Coturnix japonica: one gene and its partner. The protein of the gene in region 2 interacts with the protein of the main gene of each other region in a pairwise test. Links are inferred from orthologs where the notes say so. Each region holds a gene or a part of one and is shown on either strand. Other genes may lie near its edges. The genes, in order: PDCL2 and GOLGA1.

Region 1 (4,265 bases), on a different chromosome or scaffold from region 2:
AGCATCATTTCAGAGGTAGAAGGGTTTCTATGCTAATCTTATTGAATAAAGGTAACAAATAGTATATGAACATAAAACTAAGAAAGTCTTTACATCAGCTTCAACTTTGGGAAACTTAAGAACCAAACACTGTGAAGTGCTTTAATCACCTGAGAAAAAGCACAAAGCACTGTACAGGTGCAAATCATCATCATTCTAAACATCAGTAACTTGAGTGTGAACTACCAGTATTTAATGTGCGAATACGATACAACACATAACAATATTTCATGAAAACTGGAATGTGGAACCAGTAGATGGCAGCTTTCATCTGTAAAAATAATTGCAAAGTAGAAAACAGAAAATGAAAATGCCTTCTTGAGATGTGTTGAACTACAAGAAGCTATTCATTGTACTGACTGAAAGCCACTGTAGAACTGGCAAGACTAAATGTACACACAACACTGTTACACTTTAGCAATACATCGTAATTTACACACAGATCAGGAACAGTATATGGTATGTCACAGAAAGGATGTCTCATTGTATCTTAATACAGGAATATCTTACTACACCTGTACATCTCAATAGCCTTCCTATCAGCTTCATCAAAGTCATCTTCAGCTTCTTTTAATTCTTCAAGGCTCATTCTTTCATATGGTTTCACTAGAAACAAAACAACAACAACAAAAAAATAGTTTTGTTCTCTAAAGTGCTTGCACATTTTAAATGCATGGAAATTATCATACAGACGTGGAATTGATGAAAGAGATGCTGATTTCAGAAGGTGTTCAAGGCCAAGCTAGATGGTGTTTTGACTAACCTGACCTAGTAGAAGGTGTCCATGTCCATGGCAGGCAGGGTGGAATGAGATAATGTTTATGGTCCCTGCCAACCCAAATCATTCGATGACAGTAACTAAAATGATGCAGTATGCAAAGGTATGTCATGCTACCATATATTTTTTTTTATTATTTTAGTGTATTTTAGCTATATTTTTATACAAACAATATCCTGATCAATGCTGCCTGAGAGAATTTGGCAGAGTCTACCACTGAAGACACAACTTTCTCTGCTCTGTAATAGTGAACAGAACTCAGTAGAATCTGAAAACCCCTGAACAATCTGTAACTTTCCTTTCAACTCAAGTCTAAAACTTGTCAGAAAGTGAGAATTCCTACGGCACATTTAAACAAGAGCCTTTGTTGCTCTATGGAAAAATGTTTGCCTGTAGGAAAACAGTGGGAACCAAGAGGCCCAGTCTGTGGTGCCACTTCCGTTTCTTACACCTTAATGCTTTCTGTCCTTTAAGAGGAAATTATAGAAAGAGGAGGCCGGAAAAATTTGGCCAGGTTGGATGGGATCCTGAGCAACCTGATCTAGTGGGCGGCAACCCTGCTCACGGCAGGACGTTTTGAACTGGATAATCTTTGAGGTTCCTTCCAACCCAACCCATTCTATGACATCTGCAGTAATAATTTTGCAGTACTTTCAGGTATCTGCAAAGAAAGTGAAAATACTTTTTTTTTTCTTTTTTCTTTTTTTTTTTTTCCACAGCCTCTGTGAAAAATCAACTTTTAAAATGAACATTTGCTGAGAATTGGATATTTATAACTGATTCTGTTTTGAGGGAAAACAAGCTGGATTACATTCTTTCCACTCTTGTTTCCTTTTGATCTGTGGTCTATGAAGGTTCTCTTAATTTTGACTGGAAGAGATAGCAAAGGATGGCCCTTGGAGTAGGAAAGGTTCCCACCGTGGAGATGAGCCTCACACCACACACATCTGTGTTTCAAATGTCATTATTCTAATAGCATGTATTTGAAATTTGACTTGCCTTCTGCTTCCTTCTGCAAGCGTAAAACCATATCTTCAGTTTCATCTTTTGGCTCTTCTTTTGGAGGAAGAATTCCAAACTTTCTTAATACGTCATTCCATTCGGTATCTTCATTTGGGTCCTGTTTTGGTATCATGGAACAAAACAACACTGACAAATCAGCCTTCCGATTGATAACTTAATTAAGATAAAGGAAATACATCTACTTATAGGGCTGCATTTATTCTCAGATTATCACATTAAAAGAATCTTTATTGTAACTGGGCTGCAACACGTAAGGACGTCTTTCACAAGGACTGGAAACAGGTTGTTAATCAGTGTGGTATTTTTTACCTTGAAATACCGACTGAAAACCTCCATGAAGAAAGGCCTGAATAGATTTTTATACACCAGAAATATTTGATGGCGTTTGTAATAATTCAGCATCAAATGAACAAACATTGCATTACAAAAAGGTTACCTGAGGAAACACCCAGGATTTGCATTATATCATTACCACGGCTGTGAGTGATGTGTTTGCCTTCCCAGCCAGCAACTGCCTTGCTTTTATTCAACAGATTACAGAGCTTAGCAGGAACATAACAACACAATTCTAATGATACCACAAGTCAAGTGTTAGGATATAAACGCTCCCAAGAATTTTGTAATGATAAAACAAATTCTTTTGCATCTCGGATGTAAAGAAATAGGAAACCCGCTAAGACAGTAAAGAGCACCATCCTGTTGCTCCCTGGGAAGCACAGTGGGTCTGCAAGGCCTTTACCTCTGCCAGTTTATTCTGGCATGGATGAGGAAGTGACACTTTGCAGGGCTGGAGCAGGCAGGAGATGGCAGCAGCTCCTGGCAGCTCCTGCACCAGCCCTGCATGGGCTCAGCAGGCCTTTGGCACTGCTCCCAACACACACTGCTCCTGCTGCACTCTGGCCTCACAAGCATCTAGAGCTTATTGCTGAGAGAAAAGGATTTAACTCACTTTGGGCAATGATCTCCCTCTTCCCCCTCCCCAAAGGGGAACACAGTGCAGGCCGCTCTGCTCGCGGCCCAGCCCGACCCGCTGGCCTGTGCCCAGCCCTGCCCGCCCGCAGGGCTGCACCCGGCAGCTCCCCTTTTCCCCCGGTTTCCCTCAGGCCGTCGGTCTCACACCCACCTGCATGGCCTCCCGCAGCCCTGCCGCTCTTCACGGTGGCGGTTGGGGCAGAACCGGGTTCTAACGGTTCCATGTACCTCATAGTGGCAGCTGGTACAGCGCGAGATCCGCGGTGCGCCAGTATGGTGCGGGGTTAGGCGACGGGTGTGAAAGCCAGTGCTCTGCCCTTCGGCTGCTCACACAAGCATGCGAGCAGGAGGGGTGCTGAGTTCTGCTCACCTTGTGACCAGCCAGTGTTAACAATAATCCTTGTCTACACTGCTATTAGGTCAATGACAGAGCATCCACCACCCCTCTGGGCAACCTGTTCCAGTGCCTCACCACCCTGACTGTAAAAACCTTCTCCCTTATATCTGATCTACATCTCTCTGCATCTGGACTTCATGCACTGCTTTACCAAACAGGCATTTGAAAGCTTTGCTTTGGTGTAAGTCTTCTCTGCAGGACTCAGCTTGCTCAAGATAACAAAAGACTGCATTTTCAGTAAATATGAGAGCAGAATAATAACTTGCAAATATAACGCTTTGGCTACATAAATTTGCATCATTGTATATAAAAAGAATGCCCTCTCAAATACAAAATAAACTAAACTGCCATTCTAAGAACTACATCAGAGATCTGCAGAACACTCAGAAAAAAAATGGTAGCCTACGTTGCAAACATTCCCATTAAAACAACTCTCTCAGAGCCTTTATTTGTGAAGGCAAATAAATGTACACAGCAGTGTTGTTGGGGACAATATCTCTTGCATGCATACACTGAGGATTTTTTATTGTTCCATTTAACACAGTTGTAAACATCATAACAGTGGGAAACAAATCATTTTAATATGCTTTTAATATAATCAAGGAAGTAAAGAAACATTGGAATTGTTAAGTGAATCTTATGTTAGAGCATTTACATTCTAGTGATTTTTAATTGTACATTAGTAAGGAACTGTCTCTGTGAGGAAAACCCTATGTCCATATACTCAGCATTCTTGCAGCATTAGTTCTACTTCAGGAATCTAAAACCCTGAAAAATAAGAACAAGTTTTAGCCATTGGTACGGTGCAGAGCAAATTACTTAAGATATGTCAGAGGTGCAAGATACATTAGAAAACAGAGCATCAGAATATTAGCACAGAATTGAATGATTTTAAATCAAAATCTGAAGTCTGCACTTAATTTCAATGTAAGGGCAGATGTTAATTCTGTGTAAGAGCAACCCAGGCTGTCAGTTTACTTCTCAGTATGTATTTGACGGGTTGTTGGATCAGTTCTTCCTGACACACACCTTTCATTTATCATTGATAACTTTACA
Region 2 (4,431 bases):
CCTTTTTCTCTAAGGCCAAAGCCATTCCTTCAGCCATCTTGGCTCGGTTGGCCTGGTGGGCTTCATTCTGCTCTTGAAGTTTCCTCATAGAAGCTACCAACAGAAAAGCACCAACTGTATTAAAAATCCATATTTTAAAATTGCTTCTGAAATTTCTATGTTATCCATATATTTATAGAGCTGCTTCTTCAAGCATTCAGCACCATCTCAGCTCTAGCACTAATACTGCACCACTCATCACATAACACTGCCTGCATGTGAGAGAAGTGTCTGAAGTAACAAAAGATGTCTCCTGTTCTAAGCTGGACTACAGCAAAGCCGTACGTTTCAGCAAAGTCTCTTCTACACATTAGCCCCAAATTTGCCAAATAGCGCATAATATGAGCTTTGTTCAACAACCAGCACATCACTGCTGTTATTACATCATTAGCAAGGCAGGAGCCTGTGTTCTACTTCTTTGCAGCTTGCATGTATACAGTTTGAAAATAAATGTTTAAAAAACTGTATGTAAAAATTGTTTCTTTCCAGGTATATTTAAACCATAGCAATTTTCAACCATAAGAGAGATTAAAAAATAAATACGTACAATCTTGATGCTTTTCTAATGCATTTTCAAGCTTCTCTTTTATCTTCTGCAAGTTTCGGATCTGATCAGCATAATCTTGTGTTAGGAGGGAGAAGCACAGACCAGGAATGGACAGACATTAGGGAAGGAAACAGGGGGGGGAAAAAAAAGGGGAGGGGGGAGAAAAAAAAAAACAAAAGATGAGTGGAAAATGGCAATGATTTTCTCAACTAGAAAATCATTTCTGCTGAGGAAAACTTGGGTGACTGTAACAATGAACAGAAGCAAGTAGCTCTCCACTGTCCGTAGGGTAAATGAGTGGTACAAACAAGAGGGTCTGTCCTAGTGCTGGTAGCTACACGAGAAGTTCCACTCCATACAACAGGGATGGAAAGGAGTGTCAGAGCAGAACCCTTACTGACAGCTCTATGGAACGAGGTATTATCCTAGAAAGCAAAACAGCCTTGCGACTGTTTTATGCTGAATTCTTTCCTCTTTCTTCATTTCACCTGTGTTACTGTCAACATCAGAAGTCTTAGATCCTAAGAGAAACAAATCATCACATACATAGAATAATAAAAAAGGGGGGTGGAGAGGGAAAGACTGTTTGAAGCACAGGGGCAGAAATGCTACCTAGATGAAAATGATAGGGGCATACTACAAGTTAACTTTCTAAAATGAAACAAACATTTTTCATAACTCTGAACACTGAAGTGGAAAGGAAACTATCTTCTAAGCAATCAAATTTTACATGTATCAAGACACGTACCAGACAACTTGACTTCCAGTTTTCTTATTTGTTCATTTCTTCTGAACAACTGGGATGAAAGATCCTCTCTAGAACTGCTTCCATCAGAAGCCTCGACAGAAGAACAACCATGTAACTAAAGAGATGTACTCAAAACGATCCTGTTACATACTAACTCTACAACAATAAACACTGCCCAGTGTCTTTTATAACTGCCTACAGCAGAAAGCAGTTTGTTCTAACCCAGCACTAAGAAGGTGGCACAACAGAATGGCTGGGGGAAAAAGGAAATCAGGCTCTAACGATGCCAGGCTCAGAAGGGACGGGTCAGAGAAAAAGCCTTCTGGACAAATTAGAAACTAGGAAAAAAGAGCAACAATCTTTATGTGGAATGAACTCAACAGTCATTCCAAGTTAAATCCAAAGCATAAATGACACAGGACTCTCTATGGCTTTCTAGCTGTATAAAATCTGCATTAAGAACAGTTAAATGAATACCAAGTTTTTGAGTTTGGAATTCCTGCTTTCTTACCGCTTCAGAAATTAATTTCACTACTAGGCATCTCACATACTACTTGTTCACTCAACATTTATTCAACGTCCTACACGTGCTGAATGATGTTCTCTATTGAGACAGCTTTGTAACTAATGTTTACATGGGTAAACAAGTAACTCTGATGGTAAACAGAACAATATTTTCCCTTTGGTATTTAAACTGACTCAAGCTACTGATTCATCTGCATATTAAGACATACACCTACAGAGGTACCACAGGGCACTCTCAGCTCACACAGCACACCTAAAATGGATCCTGGAAAGCAGCGACACAAACGTGGCTTAAGAACCCAAACTCAGAGTAAGGCAGAACTCACAAAGTCATCTCCCGAGTCCGCTCCCACGGAGGTGATGGACTCTTTGCTGATGGATCGTGGGATCCTGGCCGCCCCCCCGGGCCTGGGAGCAATAGCTGCCTCTTCTGCGATCTTCTTCTTCAGTTTCGCAAACATTTTACTACTCCGTAGCACTGGCAGTGCCGGGTGCTTCAAAAAGCCGGTGCCTGTGATATATCTAACGCATCGATGCTCTGCTTACAGCTTCCAGAAGCTGAGATTTAATTTTGTGCTTCATCCACTCCGCTTTATTGCATTTCTCGTTCCATTACAGCCTCCATGGCCTAACAACACCTGTAAATTGAGGCGATAAGGCTTCCATGCTGAAGACGTCCACCCCCATTAGAGATAACTACACGCTTTTTTAGGTACTTTACAACCCCTCACAGCCCGCTACGACCCCGCCGCACCGCACGGACCCTCCGGTGCCCCCACCCCAGAATTGGGCCCGGCCCCGGGGCAGCGCGGCGCCACCAACGACAGGGCGAGCTCGGGCGGCCCGTTCCCGGCAGCTGCCGCCTGTTCGGAGACGGCCGCGGTCCCCGGGTGCAATACGGCCCGTTGCAATACAACCCGCTGCAGTACAGCCCGCGCCCTCACCGCCGTCCCGCGGCCTGGCCCGGCCTCGTCTCGTCCGCCGCCGCCCGGACCCCGCGACGCCGCCGTCGCCTCCGGCGCTGACCCGGAAGTGCCGCGCGGGCGGAAGCGCCGCCGTCCGGTACGCATGCGCAACGTGCCCGCCCCGCCCCCCCGTCCCGCGGCAGTGCAAGAGGCGGCACACCGGGTGATGGCAGCAGCGGGCAGCCCCGCCCCGAGCGTTTATTGTCATTGCCGGTACAGAGCCGTAACCGAGCTGTTTGTGCAGCGCCCAACCGACACAGACCCAGTCGCACTTCCAGCTCAGCTTTCACTTCCCCCCGACAATTGCAGCAGTAATACAAACACATCGCGTTCCTCCCAGACACCAACATAGATAGAACTCTCTGGCATTACATTGCTTTGGCAATTTACAGAGCCTTTGGAAAATGGAAAAAAAATAAAAAATAAAAAAAAAAGCTATTTGCTCCAAAACTTTTATTCATATATCTCTATTTTAAGTAAAATATCTGCTTTTACCAAAATACGATGTACAGGCACGTGGCTGTCAAATAACTTCGAGCTAATCCATTATAGAATGACTTTGGGTACCAAATGTTCTGATTTCTGGTTTCACTGCAGTGCAGGCCCAGCCCCGCTCTGCTGCATGGCTGCACTGCAGGGCACAGCTCCTGCTCTGGGGCCCTGCGGGCAGAACCAGCCCTAACACAGCCCCGATGAAGGAAGCAATGACCAACACGTGCCAAAGGAGCCCTGCAGTGCCAGCGGGGCCCATAGCAAGAACAAGCCTTCATCCTTGAACAGCTGCAAAGCAGGAGGCTCCAGGGCGCCTTTGGGCCAGGGAACAGCAGCTGCAATGTGAAAGTAGGAGCTTCAAGGGCAAAACATCTCTGTGTGCACCAGTGCACCAACAAGATGCAGAGATGCTCTTTGATATTCCAAATGATCCAATTTGAAAATCTCAAACTAAATCTCTTTTGTTTTGGCAGAGGAATGGTTTAGAGTGAAAAAAACAACAACAAAAACCCAGAAGAATAAAATAAATTGATGTATTCCTCCTGTTCTAGTTGCAGATATCTGAATCTTCAAAGCACATGCAATAGATTTGGTCACAGAAACAGAACTGCTCTAGAAGTCAAAGACACTAGAAAATGTCAGAGAGCCATCTCAGCAATTGTAACCTCTTCACTTTGCAGACTTCTGCCCTGCCCTCCACACCAACACCCCTCACACAAGCTGACAGTGCTGCTATGCAAAGTCACCAAGGGATTTTAACAGTTTTCAGGCTGCGCAGCTCCTCAGCCACAGAACAGCTGCAGCCATCACAGATCAGCTGCTGACACCCAGGCAGCCACTTGGTCTGGAAAGGGCAGGACTAACTGAGGGCTCTGCTACTGCCATCATTAGTGACCTGTAATACAAACACCTACTGAAGAATCTAACATAGATAAAGCTGTTACAAAAGAAGCCTCAAGACAAAACAAAACACAAAACAAAATGAAAAACAAGTTGTCCAGACGGATTCCAAGCTTTTTAGCTCATAGGAAAAGCAGACGTCGGGCACAGCATGGAGTTACAGTGTAAGGATGAAGGCAGAGCGGGGGGAGGCACTTCACAACAGCATGCCTGTG

Evidence for each region.
Region 1: the proteins of GOLGA1 (region 2) and PDCL2 interact in a two-hybrid assay, tested with the Homo sapiens proteins (2 studies listed by BioGRID). The two-hybrid records come from large-scale screens. The link is inferred for Coturnix japonica from reciprocal best matches to the Homo sapiens genes GOLGA1 and PDCL2.

Annotation. Positions count from the first base shown.
Region 1 is NC_029519.1:58,669,983-58,674,247, reverse strand, and holds the start of PDCL2 (phosducin-like protein 2), read right to left. Parts: upstream 3,053-4,265; 5' UTR 2,970-3,052; coding exon 2,964-2,969; intron 1,938-2,963; coding exon 1,817-1,937; intron 646-1,816; coding exon 555-645; intron 1-554. UniProt on the Homo sapiens protein: Essential for male fertility, spermiogenesis and acrosome formation.
Region 2 is NC_029532.1:8,050,490-8,054,920, reverse strand, and holds the start of GOLGA1 (golgin subfamily A member 1), read right to left. Parts: upstream 2,923-4,431; 5' UTR 2,804-2,922; intron 2,498-2,803; 5' UTR 2,321-2,497; coding exon 2,186-2,320; intron 1,426-2,185; coding exon 1,335-1,425; intron 662-1,334; coding exon 587-661; intron 94-586; coding exon 1-93. UniProt on the Homo sapiens protein: Involved in vesicular trafficking at the Golgi apparatus level. Involved in endosome-to-Golgi trafficking. Mechanistically, captures transport vesicles arriving from endosomes via the protein TBC1D23.